Cricetulus griseus: one gene and its partners. The protein of the gene in region 4 purifies or fractionates together with the protein of the main gene of each other region. This does not show direct contact. Links are inferred from orthologs where the notes say so. Each region holds a gene or a part of one and is shown on either strand. Other genes may lie near its edges.

Region 1 (4,119 bases), on a different chromosome or scaffold from region 4:
GTTTCCTTCACAATGTGTTTCCTGATACTTATTGTGCTGTTACTTATCAGGTATTCCTGATTCACAACTCATATTTTGCTAATAAGTGATTAACAAGTACAATTCATATAACACAAATTCTAAATAAGTTTACAAAAAGTTCACTACAGAAATTTCAGCAACTTACTTTAAGAGTAATCATTTAAGAAAGACAAAGTAGAAGGTGGCAATCAAGATGTAGCTTAGCAGTAGAGCACCTGCCGGCATTTATAAGGACTTGGACTTGGTCTCTAGAGCCACAAAAACTCCCAAAATCTATACATCTGTGCAGATGCATGTTATAAGACCCCTAGGGTAGAAGACAGAGTTCTAAATACACAGGGAAAACCAAGCAACTTCTTTGTTAACTGACTGCTCAGTGCTTCCCTGTGCTACTGCCTTATCTCAGATCTGTCCTGGAGAAGCGGTTAGGACACAGATCAGGTGGTCTATTACACACTTTCATCCTCAAATACTTTTTCTTTAAAGTCAAGGGTCTCCATAAGTATCCCAGGTTAGTCTCTAATCTCTGCAACACTGAGATTGTAAGCCATGCCAATACTGTATTTATTTATAGTTAAGGTGGTTTGAACCAGGCTTTGGTTGTGCATGCCTATTGTCACAGCAAGAGAGGCAAAGGCAGGAAATGGGAGTTCAAATTCAGCCCGGAAAACATGGTCACGCCCTATCTTAGAAAACAAACAAACAAAACAATGAATTAAAATTTTAAAAGAGCTTTAAGCTAGGCAGGCATGGTGGCTCAGGCCTATAATCTCAGCATTTAGGGGGTAGAGTCGAGGGGATTGCTACAAGTTCATTCTACATACTGAGTTTCAGTCTAGCCAAGATGACACTGAGAGACCACATTTCCCAAAAGCAACAACAAAAGTGGCTTAAGAAGCAGGTTATGCATCACATTTACCTGTTTCTCTTCTTCAGGCATGTTTTTTTCCAGTTCAGTTAGGTATTCCTCATCTAGTTCAGAGGAACCAGACTCATCAGTGGCTTTGTCCCCCACCATCTGTGCCCCTGGCTGCTCCTCCTCGAAGGAGGCACTACAGTCATGAAAACATTCCTCTTCTCCATGGTCCTCCTGGGAATGGGCTCCATCATCCTTTAGTAGCTTGCTCTGGGAATGCTGGACCTTGGGATCAGAGACCTGGGGGCTGGCTGACTCTACTTCCTGAGAATCTGTAACTTTCAAACCATTGAACAGATCTTCGGGAACCTTACAGTTCTCTGACTTCTCACCCATGCTGAGTTCAGGGGGGGAGGTGAGGCTAAATGTCTGGAAAAAGGAAAAAAAGAATGTGTTATGTAATGATGGTTATATATATATATTCTTAAATTTCATATCACACCTAAAAAAAAACCTCTGCATTTAATCCCCAAACACAACTTAACTCCACTGGGTATCATTATAAACAGGATATTGTCTGGTGGTGGTGGTGCATGCTTTTAATCCCAACACTCAGGAGGCAGACAGGTGGATCACTGTGAGTTTGAAGCCAGCCTGGTCTACAGATCCAGTCCCATGGCAGACTCCAAAACTACAGAGAAACCCTGCCTCGAAAAACCAAAACCAACCAACCAACCAACCAACCACATAAAATAAATAAAAATAAGAACAGGATATCACCAAGTGTGATGGCCCATACTGGCAGTCATCATTTGAGAGATGGAGGCAGGAAATTCAGAAGTCCAAGGTCATCCTTGGCTACACTGCAAGTTTGAGGCTAATCTAGGCTACATGAGACCCGTATTAGCTCCTTCCTCCACCCAAAATAGATTATAATAAACCCACACTCAATGCCAATTATCATTTTAACTGATGGCTTTTCCTAGTCAAATATGGTATTGGTCTTATGACACTGATATTCCCACTTCCCACCGGTGCTGGAGACGGAATCTCAAACCTTATGGTGCTTGTAAGCCACTGTTTTAACCACGGAGCCACACCCTCAATCCATACTCTAAATTAAAAGACTGATTTTAATGTGACCCTACAACAAGCTGCTGTTTGCTGAGCAGCAAAAATTAGGCAGCAGCCAGAAAGAGTGGCAGGAAGAAAAAGAAAAGGTTCTAATCTTTGTCCAGAATAAATGATCAAGTCATCAACTGGAAACAACGAAGTCCGTCTGGGCCACCATCGCCACCGGAAGCCGGAGAATAAGTTTCTTGTGGAGACCAATATGGCATCTGTGCCCAAACTCTGCCCGTCAATTTAACCGAAATGCAAGCGGCATAGCCTAGGTAGCTAATTCTGGAAGGGGAGCCTTTGCGCAGGAGTTTTCACAGGGTTGCTCGAGGTGGGTCAGAACCAGGGATTGGAAGGGCTGGTTGTCAACCCTCACGGCGCAACTCTGCTGTCCAGACACTGACATTATTTGTCTGCGGTCGGGCCAGGGCGCCTGTATCTTTTTTTTTTTAAGTGACCTGGGTGATTGTAGTATATTAACCACCACTGCTCTAGAAGCTGAGTCAGAACCACCCCTCTGGTAAGCAGCAAAACCATGCCAATGACCCAGTGTCGTGTTTAAGTCCGAATTTGTCCTAGCCCGTACCAGGAACCTCTACACGGATGTCACTCCCCTCCCGGATCTGAGTCAAGGTTAGGAAGGCGCCTCCCCGCGCGATACCGCGCCTGTCCCCCTGCCACACTCCTCACCCCACGCCGCAAGACCCACGACGTTCTTCCCAAGCTCGTAGCTCTGCTTTCCACCACTCGGCCCTCGGAGACCTTCTACTTCCCCTCAGTCAGGTACACTTCCGGCCGCGCTCACCAATGGCGTCGTCGTTGGCAAAGCATTCTGGGAAATGTAGTGGCCAACTCGGAAAGTGAGCGGAAGTAGCTATGTGACGTCACCGTACGGCTCAGGACTATGAGCCACAGCTACCGTCTTGGGTTATGTCAAAACCTATTCAGCACAAATTGTTTTAAAAGTGAGTGCTCGTTGTTTTAAAAACGTCACTCTGGCGTTCCTTGTGCTAATAATGTGTAGAAGAATCCGAAAACGAACTTTATCTCCAAATAAACATTTCTCTCGAGTAGTTTCCTAAGTGACATTCAAGAGATCTGCTAGGAGAGTAACAGTTTATAACACTAACAATTGCATACGCTTTTTACTCATTTTCTCATGGTTGTACGGTGTTTTCCAGAGGCTGTCTTATGATACAGTGCAACAGAAGGCATGTAAAAACAAGTAGGTGATGCCAGCTGCTAGGTAAGCCCCTCTACCCAATGAAGCATAAACCATATCTCTGGCTCTAATCTGTATTTTTCTGACAAATAGGATTGTGAGGGGATGGTGAGATGATTCAGTAGGATAAGGTACTTGGCAACAAGTTTGATGAGCAAGAGTTTGATCACCAGGACCTGGGGAACCTAAAAAGGATACCACATAACTTAGTCTTTCAAATCCTTTAAATAATGTAACCTTAAAAGCCACCAAAACAGCTAGATGAAGTGGCTCATGGTATAATCTCAGTGCTTGAGAGGTGGAGGCAGGAAGATCACAGAAGTTTGAGGCCATCCTAGGTTATGTAGTAAGTCTGAGGTCATCCATGGCTACAGGGTGAATACCTAGCTAAAAAAAAGTGCTAGTAAAAACGTATTAGCTATGGAGACATTTTACTATGCCTGCTGTAATCCCATCTGCCTCCATGAAGGCAGAGGCTGGAGGCTGTTTCAGGTGAGCCTGCCTGGGCTATTGAGAGTTCACAACCAGACTGGGCATCTAAGTAAGACCATATGCACACAAAACAAAAAGTCAAAAATGGACTGAATTGAATAGTGCTTGCCCAAGCATGCATGAAGTCCTAGGTTTAATCTCCATCACTGAAAAGAGAAGGAGTGTGGGGGAGGAAAAAGGAGAGGAGGAGGAGAGGAAGAGAAAGTATGACTTAGATATTTAAGCAAGACTTCTTCAAAGACCAACTCAACTTTATGATGTATATATGCCTGTCTTTTTCTTAAGCACTCCACTTTTTTTTTGTTTCCTTTTAAACAGGGTCTCCCTATGTAGCCCAGGCTGGTTAGGGTTGTAGACCAAGTTGACCTCAAACTCACAGAGATCTGCTTGTCTCTGCCTTCAGATTGCT
Region 2 (4,183 bases), on a different chromosome or scaffold from region 4:
AACCCTAGGAAGCTGGGGTTCCCCTAGCACTGGCATAGGGTAAAAAGGGGAGGTGGGTGACAGGGGCAAGAGGTGACTCATGGTGAGAGATAAGACCGAAGAGCTCCTACAGGGAGGAGCAAGGAGAGGGCGGGCAAAGCGCTCTGTCAGCATCCATTGGCGTCTGGGCCTGCCTGAGGAGGCTGGGAAGCAGCAATAAGGAGGTGAAGACTCAGACTACTGAGGTCAGCTGCCTCTCCCAGGTCCTACTTGTCACTGCTCTACTACCAGGTGCCACACCAGAGTAGGTCCTGGAGTACAACAGGCCTAAGAGATCTTGGGCAGGAAGGACTAATCAGTCGGGCCTCAGTTTTTACATGTGAAAAAAGAGGCAGATAACACTACCTGAGATTATAAAGTGCTCGCACTCCACTGAAGCTATTATTACAGCCTTCCCACGTATTGTGTGGGCCACAGGACAGAGATGGGGGTACAAGGACTCACACAGGTCCACAGGGAGTGGCCTGTAGGGCTCAAGACAGCACAGTAGGGCTGTGAACAAATCCTTGATCTCTGTAAGATGGCCGTGGCCTCTGTCAACTCTAAGGACCCCTGGGGACTCCCTGTTGTGGGGAACAGACTCCAAGTGTGGGAAACAGAAGGCAATACCTCCCCATGATAGGCAGTCAGAAGTAACCCACTACAGTGCCACATAGACGGGGCTCACATTAAGATCAATGTCTTCCTGACTGTCACCCTTGACAGGTGTCACCAATAACCTTGGAGAAGCGGGAATGGATGAATATGAAGCTATAGGTGTGCGGAGGGTGTATACATCTTAGCTGTGGTCACAAGGATGTGGACAGGAAGCCCTAAGGGTACACTGTGGCCCCAGGCACCCCTATCTGTCCCTATCACTGGCTGGCCCTATGTCATTCTGTCTGCAGAAGATTAGAGCCTGTGGCTGTTCCCAAGCCAAGCTGGAAGGTGGCAGCTGCCTCCTACCTGCTGTGAGAGGGCTGGCACAGCAGGGCAGGCCCCATTCAGAGTCTTTATTCCTCCTCTCAAGGGACTGGGCTCTGCCACAAGTGGAAGTCACCCCAGGCCCTTTTAGGAGCAACAGATTCTCAGCTATTGTCAAATATCCAGAGGATTATCCAGTCCTTCCTCATTCCTGTTACCCAATACTCCATCATCACAATGGCCAGAGATGCAGTTTGCATCTACAGACTAAAAACCCTCAGCTAGTGGCCCTGTGGACGGAGCCTCCACCCTGCTGGAAACCAGCCAGGCCACCTTCTCAGCTGCTGACCTACTTCTGGTCTCTCTCTGCCCAAGAGCTCCCCAGGACCTGTCAGCCAGGACAGTCCCCAGGGCGAACATCTGTCATGTACACTGCTCCATTCTGAACCTGAACAGTAAAGGGGTCAGACCCAGCTAGGAACACTCTCACTACTACCAGACCTGCTCCAGATAGAACAGTTTGCTGGACTACCTTGCCTGTCAAATCAGGCACGCCTCCACTCACAGCCACGGCCAGCCACCCAGTTATGGTTTGGCTGTGTGTACAAGCAATGTACACTGCTTCTCAGGATGTGTGTCAGTGTGTCAGTGTGGAGCAGTCACCCATAGCCTGGGCACTGTGTAGCCCAGTGGATGTCAGGTAAGAGGATCCAAACAAGGCCCTAGAAGCCTCCTAATGACAAACCACTAACCAAGTAGACATTGTCACTTCTTCCACTGGTGGGAACCTTCAACAGGTGGCACCCTGTTCATTCAGACACCCTGGCCTGGACAGAGGCTGCTACTCCAAGTGAAGCTGAGCAGCTCGTGGCCAGCCACTCAGCGTAGCTAGGAAGCAGGCAGATTTTCTCAGGGCCCCAGACCAGCCTCCATGCCTCTCCCCAAGTCCCCTTCCTGCAATCTCATGTATGTGTGCGAGCTTCTATCTTCTAGCATGTCTGAGGCAAGGCAAGGAAGAGTGGGTGAGAGAGAAAGCTCAGATTCCTCCCACCCCACTCAAGCATTGCAATTTGAGAAGCTCAGAAACACTCCAGTAAGGCACCTTAGAGTCTGGAAGCCCAGTGCCGCCTGCTAGAGAGGAGGTGGGCATTCGGCTGCTGCCCACGGAAGGAGGCAACTAAGAAGCCGGTCAGTGGTCCCAGAGCCATCTGGGTCCCCATGCGTGCTGGGTGAATGGGGTCCCTCCTTGGCGCCTCACCTTCTGCGCCTGGCTGATCATCTTGCGTACCACTTCCTTGATATGCGGCTGTCCGTCGATGGGTGGCTGCATGTAGACACTGGCCCGGGTCACACCTCTGTAGGCGATGGTGTCAGGCCAGCCTAGGTCCAGCTGCGGGATGGAGCGGTCCGACTTCTGGGGCCAGTACTCCAGCGAGGGCAATGGCTCGGCCGTGGCTGGGGGTCCTCCCGCAGCGCTGGCATCCTCGCTGGCATCCACGCCTCCGTTGTCCTGGGGCTCGGGACGGCGGCCCGAGCCCCGCGGGTCCTCGGAGCCCGGGTCGTACACCTCGATGGTCTCCACGATGCGCGCGAGCTCCAGCTCCGATAGAAAGTCGCGGATGTTCTCGCGCTTCAGCACCTCGTAAAAGGCGTCGCGACCGCGGGCCACCAGGGCCTCCAGGGCCAGCCGCTGCTCCTCGCTGTAGAAGAACTCGGGCTTCGACTCGCTAGAACGCCAGTTCACGTGGTTGTCATCCAGACACTGCACCTGGGAGAAGGCCATGGCGGCCCTCGATGTGGGAACGCGGCCCGACGGGCACCGCGCTCTCGGGCTTCACGGTCTCAGCGCCTCTGCGAAACCCACCTGAGGGAACCAGCAGAAGACCGCGGACCGGGTCAGAGGGCGGTGTGGGCGGGGCGGGCCGTGTGGGCGGGGCGTGGGGAGGGAGCCTGAGTGTCTAGGTGCGGCCGAGCGCCTCCGCGCCTTGGGATCCGCCTGAGGTTTGCGGAGCCCTGGCAATAAGCTGGGGCTGCCAGGGAACCCCGTCCCAGTTTGGAGCAAAAGCAGGGGCCCAAGCCCGGGTCGGGTTTCGGGAAGGACGGCTCACAAACCCGGAGGCCTGCCCGGAGGAGGGAGTCGCTTACCGGGCAGGTGGCGCCGTGCAGAGCGGGCGACGCGAGGAACGACTGGCAGTGGTAGTGGCAGCGGGCTGGACGGCCGGTGACTAAGGGCGGACCCGCCCATCCCCTCCGCTCTCACCTGGGGTCACGTGCGGCCCCGGGGGCGGGGCCGGAAGCTGATTCATCTCCTCAGACAGTGCAAGGTTGGACAGTTTGCTGCCTCAGGCCTCACAAGATACCTTCCTCCGCCCCCCCCACTTCTACTGGTGATCCGGATCCAGTTCTAGCCCAGTTCTGTCGTCTCGCAGGTGGGATGCTCGGCTATCCAGTTGTTGAGAGTTGGGTCATGGGTCCACCTTCCGCTGCTCCCACACTCTCTTTTGATATGTGCAGAACTGGTGTAGATCAATCAGTCCTTAGCCTTCCTGCCTGCTGAGAGTCCCACTTGTCATGTCCCGGTGCACACCACTTGCCTAAGCCCTCTGGCAGGGAAGGGTGGAGAGGACCAGGCTGTGCTCAGACCCAGCTCTTGGCTAGGTGTACCCCAGCAATAGAGAATGTTGGGTCCACATCTGAGGGCAGGGTGTCAGGGGCAACTTGGCAAAACCCATTAATCCCTGCAGACAAATGGCTTCTTCCATGAAACTTTTAGCTCCAGGGCCCCAGGCCAACCCACCCACCAGCTCTGGGCCAAGATGGAGCTTGTTTGAGTCCCAATGGACCCTGGCCTTGTCCAACTGAGGACTGTCTTATGGCATTCTTGTATACCTCCAGACACATTGCCACTGTTCGTCATCCTATGAGGCCTCCAAGTCTCATCATGGATCACCAAGTCCAAGCCCTGCCCTCATTCACAGCAGGCCTTATACCATGTGAACACTGTGTTTCCATACCTGTCCCTGTTCCCATACCTGTTTGCACCCTTTCCCCCTCTAAGGTATCTGAATCACCCCCTTACCTCCCATTCCCAAGGAGCAGACAGAGGCAGTGCTGAGAGGCTTGGACTCCCTGCAAAACTGTGCTAGTCTTCAGTTTATCCTCTTGTTCTTACCACTGCAGAGTTCCTGGTTTCATTAAGGAACTTGGCCCTCAGGTTGAAGGCTCTTTATCTGTCTCTTGG
Region 3 (3,953 bases), on a different chromosome or scaffold from region 4:
TTTTTTTTTTTTTAGATAATTGTTGGTATTTCCTCTTTTTGTAAGTCTTCAACGCTTGTCACTGTAGACTAGATTTCCAGTTCCTTTCTTGGTTAATTAGCTGTATGTAATCTAGCCTCTATTATCTTTCCAGTTTTATTTCCTGCCATTCAAATATGCGAGATTGGGCCCAATCTCGGGCCGGTGAAGTAGCCCTATTTTTTTTGCTAGAGCCGCTCTTTCTCTCCCATTCCTGTAGTGCTGTTACCCAAAGCACTGCTTGAATCTTTCCTCCCCCGAGGGCACCGCCCCCTAAGTAGAGGCTCAGTTGTAAGCATCATCAGATGGGGATGATTTGCATGTTGTGTTTAACACCTACAGATCTCTACAGCCTACACTATTTGTCTTCATCATACTGCAGTAGGCCACCTGGAATGATGCCTAAAAACGTGCAGGAAAATAGCCAAAAGCTTTTGAAGAGAAGGAGTGTATGGATGCGTCCTTTCTTTCTCATCCCTCTCCCCTGAAGAGGGCAAAACACATCAAAACTCTTCACAATGTCCTTGAGGAGGCCAAGCAACCTTGACCGCCCTGGTCCTTCCCATTGAAACGGGAGTCACACAGCTCGTTATCTGAGGCTCGGCTTCTTGGCGATCAAGGCCTAGTTCCCAATTTCGATGCCAGGCAGGGTGAGCGCTCGCCTTGGCCTGACTGGTGCCTGACGTGTGGTTTTGCCTGAAGATGCTGGGGACTGAACAGAGCAACTCTGAAGGATGGGCTGCAGCTGTGGGAAAGCAGCCCCAGGGAGGCGGGGCGACCCAAGGCCGACGGTCCAAGGCGAGAGAGCTGGGCTAGGGTGCTGGGCAGGACCAAAGGGTTAAGCCGTTTCCAAGGCAACGGACCAGGAAGCGCGCAAGACGTCAGCGGAGAGTTCGTAGGTCAGCTTCGCGTTAAAAGCTCCCACGGGCCGAGGGGCGGTTGGCCAATGGGAAGGGCGCCTCGGCGTCACGTGACAGGCGGCCCGCTGCTTTGCCCTCCGGAGCACGTGGGAAGGCTTTTATTTATTTATTTATTTATTTTAACCTCCCCCCCTCCCTTTCCTTTTGCGCGGGCTCGGCCACGGGGTCGTTCTCGCGAGAGGTGCGATCGCTCTCGCGAGAGTGAGTGGGCGGCGTGGGGAGGCGGCGGCGGTGGCGTCTCGGGCCGGGGCGGGCGAGGGAGGCGCCGCTGCGCTGCGCCTCGCGCCACCGGGCGTTGCGGGCCGTGACGGGCGGGTGACATGCCGGGAGCTGAGAGGCTGCGCCTCCGGGTGAGCGGGCGGGGAGCGGGCAGCCAGCGGGCGGGTCCAGACTGCGGCGGGCTGGCCGGCGGGCGGGCGGGCGAGCGGCGAGCGGGCGGGCGCTGTGGCCCTCCTGCGAGGGGCGCGGGCGGGAGGAGGACGGTGCACTTTGTCCGCAGCACAGCATCCTTCCCTGTCAGCGCCCGAGCCGGGGTCCCCGCGCTGCCCAGAGTTGAGGGGCCGCTGTTTGCATCGCTGTCAGCTCGCCCCCAGGCTGGCCAAGCTACCGGACAGATAGAAAATGTTCTGGCGAGACCACAGTGACAGTAGAGCCTAGAGCCCTGGTATGGCTGGGTGACAGTCGTTCACTCTGCTCACCTTCTTCATTAAACCCATCGGATGGAGGAGGCTTGAGGCGTTTGGTGGTGAGCAACACTGCCGAGACACATCGCCGATGGCCTTGGCGCATACCGGAATTTATATTCGAGGTTCTTGTCATCAGCTTTGTAATTAATTCGGTTGCTTCTGAAAGACGCCCGTTTCCTTTGCGTCTTCCCACCCACCGTGTTAGCAGCGTTATTGATGTCGGTACTCAAATTTGTTATATATCAGAATACTTGAAGCAGAGAGTATTCAGGAAAGATGGGAAGACGGAGTGTTTGTTTATGCGAAGATGATTTCGTTTTAATGTCTGAGCTTTTTTTTTTTGTTTTAATTTTTTTATTTTGTAAATGGCAGCCCAGTGACTGCTACGACTGATGTCATTTCAAATAGTGCCACCTAATCTTTCAAAATACGTGAGCACTTTTCAAGGAATATCCTGGTTATTCATACTCGATGTGTTGTTCTTCAGGAAGAACTGTGAACCATGGGTTGACAGTGATTTCTGCTGTCAGTAACTGACTTAGGAGACATAAAGGGCCGTTAGGGAATTGGGGAAGAAGTGGGTTCTCGCTCGAGCTGTGACTGACGTAGAAGGCAACAGAATTGCTTAGCTGATCAGAAAGGGAATTTGCAGTCTACACCGTGGCCAGACGTTTTTTCTTGATTGTTGCATATACTGCAGTCAAAGCCCCAGAACTGTAGTGAGATATTTTCTAGTCCTTTCTAGCTTCTGCATTCCAGGGCTAAGTCTAGAAGCAGAAGAAATCCTCTGGGAGAAAGGATGGTAGGTTTTATTGTTTTAATTCCATAGATTGAGTATCTGGAAAAGGAACTCCGCAGGTTCAAATCATAATGTAGCAGGTTGTGTAAAGGGAAGTTTCCAGTTATAAGTGGGGAATTTTAGCCACACAGGAAGACAAAGCTTAGGTGAATGGGCACAGGAGATAACATAAAGTTCTCTCCCGTTCATCTTGGCAAAGAGAACAACTATTTGTTGCTAGTCTTTCTGACCTTGTGGCCGGGGTTTCAGACTTTTAGGGCAATGGTTGCTTTGTCTTGTGTTTGATGAAAAGCAATTGGACTCACTTTGGATGGAGTAATTACTTATGTAGACTGTTTTTGTTGTTTTTTTTTTTTCCTTTTTTTTTTCTTTTTGTGAAGTGGCCCCAAGTAGTGAAAAAAAAAAATCCCCCACTTCAAGTGTTGAGCCAGGTTAGGAAACTCTAAGAGCCTAGCTCAAGTGTTAGTTGAGGGTATCCAGACTGGCACTGTTGGCACAGGGGATAGTGCTTTACAACTTTAAAAGCCAATGGGGCAGGTCCATGTATTTTCTTTTTTTCTGCTCATTCTGACAGAAAGAAATTAAAAGAACTTCCTGGAGCTAAGCATTTGGAATGTATGGACTATTGACTGGACGTGACAGGAGGAGGAAACTTAACAATTTTGTATTAGCCATTGCTTACTCTGTGTTTTTTCTTTGACCTTCCTTAATGGCTTGGGGATTATTTGGCTGCAAGAATCAAAAAGCCATTTGAATTAGCTTACTTGAAAAAGGCATTTGTCATACCGTTGGAACATTGCCTCCAAGGCCCAGTTTGTGATTCTAGCTCAGTGACCTGGGGACCAGAAAGTCTTCAGGATGAAACTCAACGAATTTTCTCATAGTTCTCTACTACTAGTTGCATGCCCTATTCAGTTTGTTAAATACTGTCCTCCTCTTGAAACCTCTTGGGTTTTGTGTCTCTGGTTTGCCAGATGTCCTCATCAGACCCACCTTGACTTTGCATGGAGGTTTCTAACAGACTTCAAGTGTCAGTTCTAAATGTCTCCGTATAGAGAGAATGTTGTGGTCAGCTTTCTACTTCTAGTTAAGTTGGTTGTGGGTGAGGTAGTAAGATGGGAATAGGAAATGGATAGTGGGGAGACATAGGTATGCCTGGTAGTTTCTAGGCCTTCAGCTTCTTAGAGTGCTACAGCAAGGTCTTTAAGACAGGGAAGGCCTGTAGACCAGGAGGAAGTGATAGCTACCTTTGGTGTACTGTAGTATCTCAAAGTTTGAGTTCTTCCCTTGAGCGCTGCATTGCACTTATCTTAGCTAGGTAGGGTTGTAGCTGGATTCAGTGGTCCCTTTTCAGGACAGATTCTCCTAGTTTGTAAGGTTGGGCAGGTTACTTTAAAACACTTTGCTTGGTGGGCATAATGATAACTTGAGAACTGTGGATTCCCACGTGTGAAGCAAATGGCAGGTACTTTGCAGAAATCTGATGGCTAGTGTCTGTTGCTGACTGTGCACTGGGCTTCTTGTGTGTTC
Region 4 (3,226 bases):
TTAAGAACAAATAGGCCTCAAAATTTAAGCTGCAACAAAAGCTCCTATAATCAGATGCCCGGGTATATATCCACATCCAAGACAGACAGATCCACAGTTCTCAAGCTAGAAGGCAACCGGAGAGACACTCAACAAACAGGCCTAAGAAATGGGCCTAGAGTGGACAAGACTGTATGCAAACTGTATAGCCGGCAACATAGGTTGTTAGGCTGAGGGTGTCTGACCTCCCCAGCACAGCCTGGCCAGATGCATGCCTTGGTTCCCCCTTCTCACCTCCACCTCTCTACTGGGCCAACACCGTGCTTTCTTGTTACCAAGCAGCCTGAGGAGCTTCTACTGCCCGGACCCACATCAGAGGTTTCAAAACTCATTTCCCTGTGTTAAAATAGTATGGGCATGGGGGCTGGAGAGATGGCTCAGAGGTTAAGATTACTGACTGTTATTCCCGAGGTCCTGAGTTCAATTCCCAGCAACCACATGGTGGCTCACAACCATCCCTTATGAGATCTGGTGTCCTCTTCTGGTGTGCAGATATACATGGAAGCAGAATGTTGTATACATAATAAATAAATAAAATCTTAAAAAAATATATAGTATGATTTGGCCCCCAACCAAGACCACCCAAGGGATTGGCCAAAGCGGGGTCTGACAGTGAATATTCAAAGAGCTGGCTCAACTTAGACAAATGGAGTGGGGATGGGTCTGGCTCTGAGGAAAACAACAGTTGGGCAGGTACAATCCAAACACCCTTTCAGGAGCCCCAAAAGAAAGCTCTGCAGGTGAGTCTCCTGGGGAAGTAAATGCAAAACAGCACACCAAACCCACACTGCCCACAGAAGCTGCTCAGCAAGGGCGAGCGGGCGGGCGAGCAGGCGTTACCTTGAGCTGCCGGCCTTCCTCCCGCAGCCTCTGCACCTCCCCCTGCAACCGCTTGCACTCTTCCATCACTTTCTTCACTTCGGCGTCATCGAGGGACGACGTCAGGGACTTGGCAGCTGCCGGTGCTTCTGTCTTGGGTGCACTTGTAGGTGTGATTTTATTTATTTCTACATCGTGCTGCTCAGAAACAAAGGAAAGCCCAGGGTCACCAACTATGTGAGCAAGGATTTTATGCAAAGTATTTCTCAGTACACAGTACATGAGGTAGCATTCCATCCACACTGTAAAATGTCACATTTATTTTTTAAATGCATCACTTTATCTAGTATCTTGATAATCTAAAGCTACCAGGCCCTAGAAACTATGGATAAGGGCAAATAATGAAGCTGGGCTGAGGCGAATACTTCAAGGAGGAGAAAAGGGCTGTGCACACTGCACTATCAAATTCCTGCCATGCAAAAATTAACATACTGCAATTGTGCAAGCTCAGGAATTATCAGCTGCAAATTACCTTTGCAGGAGAGCTGAGCATCCCAGGCCGCTGGGGGTGGGAGGTAGGAGGCCTAGAGAGGACTACACATGGACCACCTTACAAGCAGGGATGAGGACGAACAAGCTTTGAAGGCCAAATGTGTTCCCCTGCATAAAAGGAGTCATGGTACCCTCTTGGAGGATGAGCCAGTCAGTGGAAGCAGGGCTAGGAGCACTCAGAATGGTGGCCTGAGGCTCTGGGTGGCAATCTGAAAATCAGACACCTAGTTCCAGCCCCCTTCACCTCCCACAGAAGGGAGAGCCTTGGAGGCCAGAGTCCAGGCTGGAGCCCAATTATCAGGGGGCTGGGGGTCATGATCCATGTTCCCTGCTTCTAACTTTCCTACAACAGGGTGATGTTCTCTCTGATTCAAATAACCAGAGATGGCTGTAGCTGATGATAGAGCAGAAGAAACCAGGCAGTTCTGACAGCAACCAACAGCATTCTTGGGCTCCTCACAGTCATGTGTAAAGACACTGTAGCGTGCCTTGCCTTCCCAGCTCCGTCCATCACTGGCAGAGACCTAAAGATCACCCACGGTTCTTACTTCTTGACACAATTTTACCTTTTCCGGCTACTTTGAAGGGAAGTGTACATCAGTATTTGAAAAACCATCTCCTGTCTTCTGCTGGTCCCCAGTGAGGGCCCAGATTGGGGCAGTAGATGTGTAACAACCTCCATGAAAATCTGGGGGTACTGCTAGTGTCTAGGGAGCAGGGTCTGGGACAGTGGGTGCTCGGTGCTCAATATCCCACACGGCACAGGATGTAAACACATGCCAACAACAGTGAGGCCAAGAGACTCTCATCTCAAGGAGGACCGGCACTGAGGGAGTTGGTGGGGAGCAGATGCTGAGGGGAATACTGACAGGATGCTCTGAGAGTTTACCACCTGTCTGAGCGCCCTGAAAAAGGGCCAATCACCCCATTCTGGTCTCCCCACTTCACCAAGCAAAGACTCCCTGGGATTCTGACTGCAGCTGCTAACAGGTTACTCTGCTCAAGGGGAAACTATTTCAGTTGGCCATTTTCTGCAAGTCTTTGCCAAGGTTGATGTTATAATACCAGCTTATCTGTTGACTTCAGCTGATTTTTTTCCTTCATACATTAGAGGGAGGAAAATAATTTGCCAGTTTAAATCTTTGTTTCACAGGAGATGGCATGCAAATGAGTGTCTGCCTGCAACGTTCGATTACTGTTAACTGGAGACATACTTACTGGTTTAGCGTTTTCTGCTGGTAATTCAAACACACATCTAAGTTTTGAATCCATAAGGTCTTCCGGCTTTGCCTCCTTCCACTAAAACAATTTAAATTTAATAATCAGGGTATTATCAAGCTGCTGGAAGAATAATTCTCCTCCTATAACTGACAATTTCAGAAAAATACTCTTAATGAGAAAGCCCTGATGTATATCAAATAAAGAACTTAAGTCTGCTGAGACTTCAATATTTTTAACATGACAAGATTAAATGCACTCGCTCTCCTGAATATTTATCACACTTTGCAAACCCTGCAGTCTTGCTGCCTGGCTCCTTAGGGCCGCCTGCCCAAGCTTGCCTGTTTCTACTTCATGGGCAGCACAGGTCCAGGAAGCATTCTCTCCTTAAGGAACTGGAATCTAAAGGACAGGGTACCCACTCCCTAAAGAGCTGGAGGAGGAGGATTTGGCTGACCAGTCAACCACCAGTGGGGCCCATTCACCACAGAGCCATTCCACTACTGCATCAGAATGGCCCTGCCCACGCCACCCCCACCCACCAGTGAGGGCTAGGTTCCTCACTAATATCCCCTTCTAGACACGGGGAAGGGGTTGA
Region 5 (3,500 bases), about 54 Mb from region 4:
TCAAAAAAAAAAAAAAAAAAAGGACTAGTTCTACTAGCCCTCAAGTACACAATTAGAAATCAGACATCTAGACAACAACAATAATGAATAAAGGCTTGAATTCTACAGCAAGGTTCACTTGTTTGGGATAGGGTACTCATTAGTGGGCTGGGCTATGCAAAGCATATGTGAAGCCCTGAGTTCAATCCTTGGCACCAGAAAATAAAACAATTCTCATGTTTCAAAAGGCACCTGAGCAGAAATCAAATTTGCCATTAAGCAAGCATAGATGGTACACACGCCTTTAATCCCAGCACTCGGGAGACAGAGAGGCGGATCTCTGAGTTTGAGGCCAACCTGGCCTACAGAGAAAGTTCCAGGACAGCCAGAGCTACACAGAGAAACCCTGTCTCAAAAACAAAACAAAACAAAACCAAAAAAAAAAAAAAATCTGCCATTAAAGACCAATGGCAGGAATATGAGAAGGGATAGTAATTTTACTCTTTTTTTCTTTTTTTAATCCACCAGTCTCTGCCTTCCCAGTGCTGGGATTACAGGCCTGCACCACCACCACCCAGCTAGTAATTTTATTCTTAATTTTTGTAGGAAAAAAAAAAAAAAACCAAATGAGGGACTAGGAATGTAAGCCCATGGCAGAGCACTTGCTTAGCACATGGGAGGTCCTGGGATTGATCCCCAGCATGAAAAGGAAAATAGGAAGAAGCAGGAGAAAATAACAGCCCCCTAAACAAACAAGACTAAAGTAAGAAAACTATTACTGCACCTTGGGCCTTTCCTGAGCTGTGGCATCTCAGTCAATGGGAAGAACTCCCAAGGGCTACATGCCACAAATGTGACCATGGTAGTCCTACATGCCCTGAAGACCAAGCCACTCCCCAGATCACAGACTCAAACACAGCTGCAGATAAACCAGATTGTCAGGACAATGGGATTAGCAGCAGACAGGCTAAGTCTGCCCTTGGTCTGGGTGTCAAACCTCAATAATCTCAAGTTCCCCATCTGAGAAACAGAACCCAGGTCACAGGATTATCATGAGGATTAAGTAAAAAACACCGCTAAGGTGCTTAGCACAGTATCAGAGGAAGTAAACCAATGGTACCAGCCTTACAAGCTGCCTGCTAAAGAGAGGAATCTGCTCGGCAGTATCCTGAGAGGCTGATTTTAACTTCTAGTCAGCTCAGCCACTCTGACCTGACAGATCTTGGCTGTTCTCTGACCCAGTCTATTCCTTGAGGAGGAACAAAGGTCAACAGATCCACCCAGGAGAAAAATCAGCCTTTAAGTCTCGAAGACCAGCTGGGTGACTGGCACCACACTGTCCTTGAGAACAAAGATTCAGAACGGAGCTATGGCTTAAAGTTAAAAAGCCTTTCCCCTGACCACTGCTGTCTCACCTCATGGTAAATCCTATATCAGATCTGCTGAGCACCTGAGAGTCACTTCCCCACTGTACTGATGCAAGGGAGCATGGACCAGACTGCCTGGTGAGGAGAGTGACGCCTGGGGAAAGGGAGGGCATGGCAGGCCTACAGCCTGGGCACACCCTGCTCCACCACTCAAAGAAAGAAATGAAGTCATAAAATAATGTTTAGGAAGCCCTTGTGATGACACAAAAAATGCCCATAAAAAAAATGATGGAAAAGAAAAAAAAAAAAAAGCCCTAGGCTGGGGAGATGGCTTAGCAAGTAAGAGCACTTGCTACTCCTTCAGAGGACCCAAGTTCAGTTCCCAGAACATACATGGATGGCTGCTTACAACCGTTTGTAACTCTGGTTCTAGGGGACCTAGTGCCCTCTTCTGACCTCTGCAGGCCCCAGGGATACAAGCAATGAACTTATATGCATAAAATTAAAAATAATATAAAAAGGCAACTCAGAGAAGTAGTGGATGTACAACGTAACAACTGCTAGCATTCCTGTTTGTCTGAATGGCATAATCAGGGATGTTGTTTCCATTTAGTCATACCCCTACTTTTATTCAAACATTATTTCTGGCACATTGGTTTGGATTTTGATAAATAATCTTTTGACAAGTCTAATGCAGCTGCAGCTGTAACTGCCTCGGGAGAGGCCGGCCACTCACCCTCCTTCACTCTCCGCATCTGTGAATGCAGCCCCTGAGGAGGCGGTGAAGTAGATAGAGCTGGAACCAGTGGAGTCACTCCTCTCCCTGGAAAACGGGAAGCGGCGCCGCCGAGCCACTCTCTGGTTCTCTTCTATATGAGATCTGGAAAGCAGGTCACATCCCAGAGGACACATTAGGACCCATATAGTCTGTCTCCCCTCACTCCTCCCTCAGTAAAGGACCAAGGAAGGAGAACACACTAGGTCTTTACTCTCAGGAGAGCAAGGGAGCCACCTGCTTGGCAGACTAAATTAGGAAGAACAAAGAGGTTGCACTGCTACAGTAGACCAAAGGGCACAGGGGCAGCAGACACTTGGGAAGGAGAAGGAACCAGATACGCAGCTTCTTCCACATTGGGTTAGCAACAATAAAACGGGCTTGTTCCTTAGAGAGACCAGAAAAGGCAGAACACACTCCAGCTGAAAAAGCTGTGGGAGCCAGGAATAGTTGAGGGACTGGGCAAAGCAAAAGACCAGGTCACTCACCGGACTTCCCCAACAATCTCCCCAGCCAGGCCTTGCAGGCCGCTCCGAAGCTCCTCTACCTCCCGCCGCAGTGCCATAAGACTGGTCAGCACAAAGTCCAGGCGGTCGAGCACCTTCTCCTGTCCTTCCTGTGGGAGGCCGGGCAGCACTGCAGCATCTCCAGCTTCACCTGGGATGGCCCGCAACTGCATAACTGAAGCAAGGGGAACAGGAGACAGAGACATCCATGGGATGTGTGTGTGTGTGGGGGGGGGGCTCAAACCTAGAATTCTAGAGCATTTACTTCTCTTATTCTGTTTTGTTTTTAGACAGGGTCTATGTAGCCCCAGCTGTCCTGGAGCTCACTGTGTAGACCAGACAGAGATCTACCTGCCTCTGCCTCCCAAGCTGTGAGTTTAAAGGCATGCAACACTATGCTGGGCCATTTGCTTCTCCTGAAGTTCAATTACAAAGAAGTAATTGAGCACCTAAGAGCATACATTTCACAGCTAAGTCACAGTACAAGTTCCAAGTCACTATCCAGAAGGAAAAAGAAAGAAAGAACGGAGAAGTCCAGACCAACAAGATGACTCATAGGTAAAATTACTTGTTGCTAAGGCTGTTGACCTAAGTTCAAAGCCCAAGTTCCACATGGTGAGGGAGGGAACAAACACTTGCAAGTTGTCCTCTGACCTCAAACAGGAGTGCTGTAGCATGTGCCCACTGCACCCTACCTACACACAGGTGTGCATAAATACACACACACACCCCACCTACACACCAGTGTAGGTGTACATACACACACACACACACACACACACACCACCTATACACCAGTGTAGGTGTACATACACACACACACACACACCACCTATACACCAGTGTAGGTGTACATACACACACACACACACA
Region 6 (3,500 bases), on a different chromosome or scaffold from region 4:
TCCTAAAGAAGACTTTGTACCTTCAAACCATTTTATGCCAATTCACAATTATTCAGAAAATGTAGATAGCCTTACGAGCTTTAAGTCCATTAAAAATGGTAATGATAAGGATATCACTGCTGAACTTTGTACTCCTGTGAAAAGTCAATCTGATGAACTTTCTACCACCAGCAAAGAGATGATTCCATCTAAAACTTCAGATCCTTCCATCGATGGCATGGAAAGCCCAGGAGATTTAAATAAAGTTGTGGTGCAGGGACCAAACACTGGACAGCCCAGAAGTTTCTCTCCAGGTGATTTTAGAACTGATCCGAACATTGTTCACCAAACCAAGCAATTAGAGAGCTGCAACGGTGAAAAGCCTCCTTGTCTGGAAATTCTAACAAATGGGTTTGCAGGTTTAGAAACTGTAAATCCTCAGGGAACAGATGACCTGGACAACATGACTGATTCAAAGGGATTGAAGCCTCTTAGCACTTGTGGCACTGAATGTGGTTTAGATTCTACAGCTAGTCTTACTAAGGAATTTGCAGATTTTGCTGCATTTTCCCAAACAGAAAGGATACAACTAGAAGAAATAGAATGTGCAGTTTTAAATGATGGTGATGCACTGACCATTCAGGAAAACAGCAGAATCAGCAGGGTCAATGAACTGAATTCTTTGAAGGATGTGTCTTTGGGTAGAAGCTTTGAGGATAAAGGCGTTACTGATGGAGAACATCAGGTCTATGTTTCAGAAGTGCATGTAGTAACTGACAGAGGTTTCAGTGTTGACAAACAAGACCTTCAAACACAGCAAAAGAATGAATTTTTAAATTCAAGAATTCAGTCTGAGACGTGGAGTTTGGTAGACTCAACTGAAAATTCAGAAGCCATTAGGAGGGACCAGTGTAAAAGTGAGGAAAATGATTTATTTGCTTCTAAATGTGCTGACCTATGCATGGATTCTATTAAAACTTCTGATGTTAATGAAGTTGATTCTTCCAAAGAAGGAAATAGAAAGTTTACTAATTCCAAAAACCCAAACCTTGATTCCACAGAAGAAAATGTTTTGGATGATTCGGCTGCAAGCATAAAAAATGGTGACAGTGGTAACGACTTTGTGACTTGCCATGATACCAATGAGGATGATTTTGGTGACTTTGGTACAGCCAGTGGCACCACTCCACCTTTTGTTACTAGTACTCAAGATTCAATGAGTGATGTCACTTTTGAAGAGTCCTCGGAGCATTTTCTACATTTTAGTGAACCAGGTGATGATTTTGGAGAATTTGAGGATACAAATGCTGTTTCTTGCCAAGAGGAAATGATATTTACTGAATCCAACCTAAAACAGACCTCTGATAGTTTATCAGAGGAAGATCAGTTGGCAGGAAAGTCTGCTGGAAAAGACAGTGAACCTGACTCAAAACTGGAAAATGGTCAAGACAGTGAATTTGGAGATTTTGATTCTGTGCCAAATACTCAAGACAGCGGTAGTGCTTTCCAAGACTCAGATGATTTTGCAGACTTTAGTTCAGCAGGTCCTACTCAAGCTGTAGATTGGAATGCTTTTGAGGATGAACAGAAAGATGGTTGTTCTTGGGCTGCCTTTGGAGATCAGCAGGCTACTGAATCCCATCATCGAAAAGAAGTCTGGCAGTCACATAGGACAGATGAAAATATTGATACTCTGGGAACCCCTAAGATGCACAGTGTCTCTTTAGCAACTTCCAAAGGAACAGTTGCTGGTGGCCATTTGCAGGATTCAGGCACTTCAGTTCAGGTATTTACTCATTTCCTCTGTTTTATATAACATGTTAATTGCTAGGGAGACTCCTAACACAGCTTTTAAAAATTAACTGAGTACCTGCTAAAGGAGTTTCTGTGTGAGATATGATATTTGCTGGCTGGATTTCTAGATTAGAGTTCTCACAACCTTTTGAAAAATTATAAAATTGCTATCATGGTGAATTTCTTAGTTAACAAAAACTCGTCGATTTAAACTATTTATAATAATGTTTATTTTAAATATTAGCCATTTTTCCTTTGGTTTTTATCTTTACAATAATTTTTTGAAAAGGTTAAGTCTTTTTTTTAACTTTAGACGTTAAAAAAATCAGTTAACTATGTCTCTTAAAAATTAAAGTGCAGTTTTGATTACAGGGAAGAGCTAATGGAATTTGAAACCTCATAATTTAACAGCCACAAAAAGATCTGGCATGAAATAAATAAGGTTTAGCCCTAGAAGAAGTAACTGTGGATTAAATTATTGTGGTTATATTAATTTATTTATAATTTCTTCTTTGTGTATATGTGTTTTTGTTTTGTTTATGACTATTCTTAGGGAGAATGTTTACTCCTAAGCACCTGTGTGCAATTCTTCCTGATTCATACTCTGTAAGAAAAGATTCATTAATATTTATTTTGATCTAAAATAGCCCCTCTAGTTGTATCTTGATATTATTGTTTCCCAGTCCTGAGTTGCACTCTATACTAGCTTTTACCATTACTCAGCCCAAGTAGTGAGGCATTCTCTTGAGAAAAAAACAAAAACAAGTCACTTCTTTATAGTGGTGATTGGTGTGGGACATCTTGTCCTTAGGCTTGGTTTTTTGTTGTTGTTGTTTTTTGGTTAGTTTTTTAAAGATTTATTTATTTATTATGTGTACAGTGTTCCGCCTGCATGTTGCCTGCAGGCCAAAGGAGGGCACCAGATCTCATTACAGATGGTTGTGAGCCACCATGTGGTTGCTGGGAATTGCTCAGGACCTTTGGAAGAGCAAGCAGTGCTCTTAACCTCTGAGCCATCTCTCCCGCCCCTTAGGCTTGTTTTTAATATTGATGCGGTCTATTATTTTTTCAGTTGTCTTTTGCTAAGAAATCCATTTTCAACTGGAAGTATCTCTGAAGTCTGTTAATTGAAATAATTATACTTTATTGCTTTGATAGCTTTGATACATGTGATATTACCAGTTGGTATTCATAGCTTCTCACTCATTGGCTTTGAGTATCTGAATAGTTGGTTTGCTAATTCAGTTATTACTTGGATGAGCTAATGTGCAGTATTACTATTTAATAATTTATCACTGAGGAAAGAGCCTTATAATTCTAACAACAAATTAACTGATTTTAATACAAAATGAAGACTTTTGCTTTGACCTAGCCCTTTCCCTATTTAGTTTCATTGCAGTAAAGTATAGGGTGACAGTGGTATTGGATGATCTTTAGTTTGTAGCCTTAGAACTTCTAACATCATCAGATAATAAATTTTTAAAATTATGACCACTTCAAATGGAAATTTCTTACATGTTGAGTTTATTTGTACATAACTTAATAATTGAATATATATGTATATATACATGCATTTACATAGATCATGTATGGGCTTCACTGGAATATGACATGTGATTTTGCATCTTGACAGCCTGTTGAAAACTATGGTTTGGGATAGTAAGTGAAAACATGTAGAAAAAGAATTTTGTTTTGTAAAAATAAAATGTAAGCTGCATAGCGAGAGC
Region 7 (4,045 bases), on a different chromosome or scaffold from region 4:
TCCTTTATAGCAGCCCAGGTTGGCTTCAAACTCAGGTCCTTCAGCCTCACAGTTCCTCTTTTGCTTGATAAAGTTATGAGTTGCTGTGCCTGTTTGATATTTTAAATTTTTTACATTTATGGTGTGTGCACACACACTCTTATGGAGGTCAGAGGACAACTTGTAGGAGTTAAGTTTTCCCCTTCCACCATGTAGGTCCCAGGAAAACAACTCAAGACTGGCATGCTTGGCAGCAAACATCTTTACCTGCTAGGCCATCTTGATGAACACAGATTTTATCTGTATTTTGATACAAGGTTCTGCTGTCACCCAATCCAGCCTTTAATTCCTGGGCTCAAACAATCCTGCCTCAGCCTCTTGAATCGCTGGTAGCACCAATATACACTATTATTCACAGTATGTTTTTATCATTTTAAATTAAGAAAGTATGGCTAGGGTTTAACTCCTGTGGAGGCAGCTTAAGAATGAATGAAGGCTGGACATGGTGATGCACGCCTTTAATCCCAGCACTTGGGAAGCAGAGACAAGCAAATCTCTATGAGTTTGAGGCCAGCCTGATCTACAGAAAGAGTTCTGGGTCAGCTGGAGCTACACAGAGAGACCCTTGTCTCAAAAGCTAAAACAAACAAAAGAATGTCTAAGTTGAAACATTCTGGGGTCCAAGAGATCTTTGGGTAGACAGATCTGGGTGTGAATTCTGCTGCATGATGTCATCTGTGTCAAACTCAGATGGCTCATTTGGACAAAAGTCATCAAAATAAGTCTGTCTACAGAGCCCATTTAAGTTAGCCCTCTTGGATGCCTGATAAACAGTAGCTGGATTTCATCCCAACAAAAACAGCTGGCCAACTCGGAGACTGATCTTTTTCTTGGACCCCTTTATCCTCTGTAGCTCTTAGTTTCTGCTGAATGTGTCTGATATGCTTGAAGCTTTTTCAGCACTATGTCCCCTCAGTTTTCAAAAGGCTACTGCAATATACACCCCACTGCCAGAACCATCTACCTCCTGGTGGGCCTCACCTGCCAAGGGGGATGGCCCTCCCCTTCTGCCTGGGCCCCTCCAAGCTCAAGTCCAAGACCTTTTTGGGCACTACCCACCTGCTCCTGTCATCAAGCCCTCAACTACAAGCACTTGCCTCTCCGTCCCCCGCCCATCAGTGACATGCCAGGCCTCTTTAGACTGCCCCGCTGTTTGAAAGGGGGGAGGGGCAGAAAGTTCTTGGGCTTCGGTGGCATTCTGGGGACTCAAACACTGAGAAGGGCAGAGCTGGTCACAGCCCCTCCCCCCTTTTGGTGGGTCTGACTATTTCTGGGTAACTGAAGGGGATCTGCTTTAGCTTAGAATTACACCACTTTAAGAGGTGAGAGCATTGGGAACAGGCACAAGGTCCTTCTGAAGGCATTTCAAATACAGAATCAGTTTCTTTACCTGGCTGGAAAAATTCAGCATGTTTGGGGTGGGGAAGGGGGGAGTAGAACACACCTCCCTTTGGATGAGTCCAGGGTATGCACAGTATCCATCTGTCCTCAACAAACCAAATCATTAGCTGTCACCTTTTGCTGGGTGTCGTTACCCTACCCTTGCAATTCCTTTCTGACCATCCCAATTCAAGTCGAATGAGCCCTTGCTAACACATTTCATTCTCAGCCTTGAACCAGGCAGAGCGAAACAGTCCCAGGGACTGGGTGAATGACAGAACTGCAGTTGTGAAACGACCATTTATTGAGGGGCCTTCCAAGGAACCCAGAGCTTAGGGCAGGCCAGGAGATGGGAGGGTGCTCTGCCGATTTCCCCCACCCGCAACCCAAGAAAGAGGACAGACGCAATGGCTCTGAGCGAGACCAGCTAGAACTTGGATCTGGAAGCGCAGAAGCAGCTCTCTAGGTTCATAAACAGTCTGCCCACCCCAGCCAGGGCCAGACGCTTACATGGAGGAGGCAGAGTGACAGGATGAGAGGGGCAGAGGGACCCAGAAAGATCTTGTTCCCCATGCCAAGTGACACAGAAAGGGGAAAACAATGCAGGAGGTGGTCCTGGGAAACGCTCATGGGGCAAGGGGGCTTGGAGATGGGAGAATCGAGCAGGGATAGGAGAAAGATGGCGGGGGCTGGAGGGGGAGGGGTGTGGTCACCAAGTAGCTAAGGTCCCTGCAGAGTGGACCCCACAGCACTCCCGAGATTGGCAGGAGGCTGGATCAGGGTCAGGCATTGGGGCGCTGTGTGGAAAAGGTGAGTGACGAAGTGTGGGGGGATTAGAATATGGGGAAAGGGACTAGGAGAGGAGGGGGTGGGGTGGTGACAGGGCCCCATCTGGGGCCCCGGCGGTCATGCATGCAATGGTTGGCAGTGACAGCTGGGTGGGGGTGCACGGCCTTTAACGTGGGGGATGGTCGGCCATGGGCACGGGAGCCCTACCAGGGGCAAGGTTCCTCTGCGGTGCTCGGACCCCAGCGTGGACAGGCAGCAGGCAGCAGGCAGGGGTGCAGGCGGACAGGATGGGGGGGCACATGGGGGAGGGGCCATGCAGCGATGGCCAGAGCGAGGGCAGGCCGCAGCAGCCGGGACTAGGGTGACGGCCGGGAACTCACCGCTCTCCTGCTCGCTGCCCTTCTTGGCGGCGGCGGCGTTGCCCATCGCGGCGGCGTCGCGGCCGGGACCGGTCCCGGAGCTGCGGCGCGGCGGGTGCTAAGGCGGCCGGCGTCCCCGGAGCGTGCTGGGCAGCGGAGGCGGCGGCCCCTGGGGCTGGCTGCGCTGGCTGCGGCGCCACGACCCCCGCCCAGCCCCTGCTTCCCGCGTCTCTCTGCGCCCGCCCGCGGGGGAGCCTCAGCCCAAGTCCTCTGTCCGTGACGCCCCCGCACCCCGCCGCCCATTGGTTCAGGCCTCCCTGACAGACAGCCTCGCGCCGTTGTCCATTGGCCCTCCGAAACCTTCCCGCGCTACCATAGGCTCCCGGATGCTTGACGCGAGCTGCAGACGCTCAGCCACTCACGGGCTCGCGAGGCCGTAGTCGGGCGGTCGGATGCATGTGATTGGCCGAGAAGCCCAACAGGGCTTGGGGCTCGCCCTGCGAGGCCGCCGATTGGCTGAGGCGCGCGGCCTCAGTCAGTGTCAATCCCAGGGTGAGAGGGCGGGGTAGCTGCGCAGGCTGCGGCCCGGGGGGGCAGGCGTGCGGGCGGGGCGGCGGCTGGAGGGTAGCCGGGCGGCAGACGCTGCAAGGTGCGGGAGGCGGCCCCAGCGGACGCCGGTGCGGCACCGTGAGCCCTGCAGTCTCCCGCCCTGCCCAGTGCGGCAGCGGCCACGGGCCAGCGGAGGTTGACGCCACGGCGGGCCGGCGCAGAGGCTTGTCCACCTGCCAGCGGGGGAGGGGCCGACTGGCGCCGCGGGTCAGAGGTCGCCGGGCGCCGTTCGGCGTCATTCATAAGGCCTGACGCTGGGCGGCCGTGACCCGGCCAGCTCGGAGTTCTCCTTGTTTGCTCTAGCCACAGCCGGAGCTGCAAGAGGATGCTGGATCCAAAAGTGAGGGCAGGCTGGGAGGAGACTCTTAATGTCCCGTTTACTGTGGCCCAGCCTTAGGCCCCTGAAAAGTAATAACGAGGACACTGGCCAAGTACATGACTTCTCGTTCCCAGCACATTGGAACTGTCACACTCCCATTTGATGGAGGAGGAATGGTGAGACTGGTTCCTTGCTCTAGTCCATTTGCCTGGACATCGCTATCTGGAACCTGCCCTCTGGGGACAGGCAGGGAGCCATTCTCGTTCCTTCTGGATGCCCATCTTTAAATTTTGTTTTCATGCAATGCAGGGGTTGAACACAATGCCTACCAGCTGCTAAGCAAGCATTGTTCCTTGCCCAGGGTACTCTTTCAAGTCTGTGCTGCCAGAACAGGGTCAGTTTCCCACTGTGCCACTGACATCAGGGGCCTGAGCACTCTGCTGGAGGGGTCTCCTACACACTAGTTGGTGTTCAGAACCCCCACCCTAACACACTGGATGCTGGTATACTTCCATCTTCCTGCTGCCTGGAGCAACATAAATCATCTCCA

Evidence for each region.
Region 1: the proteins of Vapb (region 4) and Ttc1 purify together in Homo sapiens (affinity purification with mass spectrometry; 4 studies listed by BioGRID and IntAct, counting the BioPlex papers as one, with this or other methods). This does not show direct contact. The link is inferred for Cricetulus griseus from reciprocal best matches to the Homo sapiens genes VAPB and TTC1.
Region 2: the proteins of Vapb (region 4) and protein FAM83G purify together in Homo sapiens (affinity purification with mass spectrometry; 3 studies listed by BioGRID and IntAct, counting the BioPlex papers as one, with this or other methods). This does not show direct contact. The link is inferred for Cricetulus griseus from reciprocal best matches to the Homo sapiens genes VAPB and FAM83G.
Region 3: the proteins of Vapb (region 4) and Akap11 purify together in Homo sapiens (affinity purification with mass spectrometry; 3 studies listed by BioGRID and IntAct, counting the BioPlex papers as one, with this or other methods). This does not show direct contact. The link is inferred for Cricetulus griseus from reciprocal best matches to the Homo sapiens genes VAPB and AKAP11.
Region 5: the proteins of Vapb (region 4) and Rmdn3 purify together in Homo sapiens (affinity purification with mass spectrometry; 4 studies listed by BioGRID and IntAct, counting the BioPlex papers as one, with this or other methods). This does not show direct contact. The link is inferred for Cricetulus griseus from reciprocal best matches to the Homo sapiens genes VAPB and RMDN3.
Region 6: the proteins of Vapb (region 4) and Aftph purify together in Homo sapiens (affinity purification with mass spectrometry; 3 studies listed by BioGRID and IntAct, counting the BioPlex papers as one, with this or other methods). This does not show direct contact. The link is inferred for Cricetulus griseus from reciprocal best matches to the Homo sapiens genes VAPB and AFTPH.
Region 7: the proteins of Vapb (region 4) and Prkaca purify together in Homo sapiens (affinity purification with mass spectrometry; 4 studies listed by BioGRID and IntAct, with this or other methods). This does not show direct contact. The link is inferred for Cricetulus griseus from reciprocal best matches to the Homo sapiens genes VAPB and PRKACA.

The regions. Positions count from the first base shown.
Region 1 is NC_048600.1:58,410,263-58,414,381, forward strand, and holds the start of Ttc1 (tetratricopeptide repeat protein 1), read right to left. Parts: upstream 2,801-4,119; 5' UTR 2,687-2,800; intron 1,307-2,686; 5' UTR 1,274-1,306; coding exon 941-1,273; intron 1-940.
Region 2 is NC_048600.1:75,700,702-75,704,884, reverse strand, and holds the start of protein FAM83G, read right to left. Parts: upstream 2,801-4,183; 5' UTR 2,726-2,800; coding exon 2,201-2,725; intron 1-2,200. UniProt on the Homo sapiens protein: Substrate for type I BMP receptor kinase involved in regulation of some target genes of the BMP signaling pathway. Also regulates the expression of several non-BMP target genes, suggesting a role in other signaling pathways.
Region 3 is NW_023276807.1:232,898,098-232,902,050, reverse strand, and holds the start of Akap11 (A-kinase anchor protein 11), read left to right. Parts: upstream 1-1,153; 5' UTR 1,154-1,258; coding exon of another isoform or gene 1,259-1,288; intron 1,289-3,953. UniProt on the Homo sapiens protein: Binds to type II regulatory subunits of protein kinase A and anchors/targets them.
Region 4 is NC_048599.1:5,230,273-5,233,498, forward strand, and holds part of Vapb (vesicle-associated membrane protein-associated protein B/C), read right to left. Parts: intron 2,710-3,226; coding exon 2,629-2,709; intron 1,057-2,628; coding exon 880-1,056; intron 1-879. UniProt on the Homo sapiens protein: Endoplasmic reticulum (ER)-anchored protein that mediates the formation of contact sites between the ER and endosomes via interaction with FFAT motif-containing proteins such as STARD3 or WDR44.
Region 5 is NC_048599.1:59,331,828-59,335,327, reverse strand, and holds part of Rmdn3 (regulator of microtubule dynamics protein 3), read right to left. Parts: intron 2,803-3,500; coding exon 2,610-2,802; intron 2,227-2,609; coding exon 2,083-2,226; intron 1-2,082.
Region 6 is NW_023276807.1:85,786,905-85,790,404, forward strand, and holds part of Aftph (aftiphilin), read left to right. Parts: coding exon 1-1,765; intron 1,766-3,500. UniProt on the Homo sapiens protein: Component of clathrin-coated vesicles.
Region 7 is NC_048596.1:160,443,328-160,447,372, forward strand, and holds the start of Prkaca (cAMP-dependent protein kinase catalytic subunit alpha), read right to left. Parts: upstream 2,801-4,045; 5' UTR 2,635-2,800; coding exon 2,589-2,634; intron 1-2,588.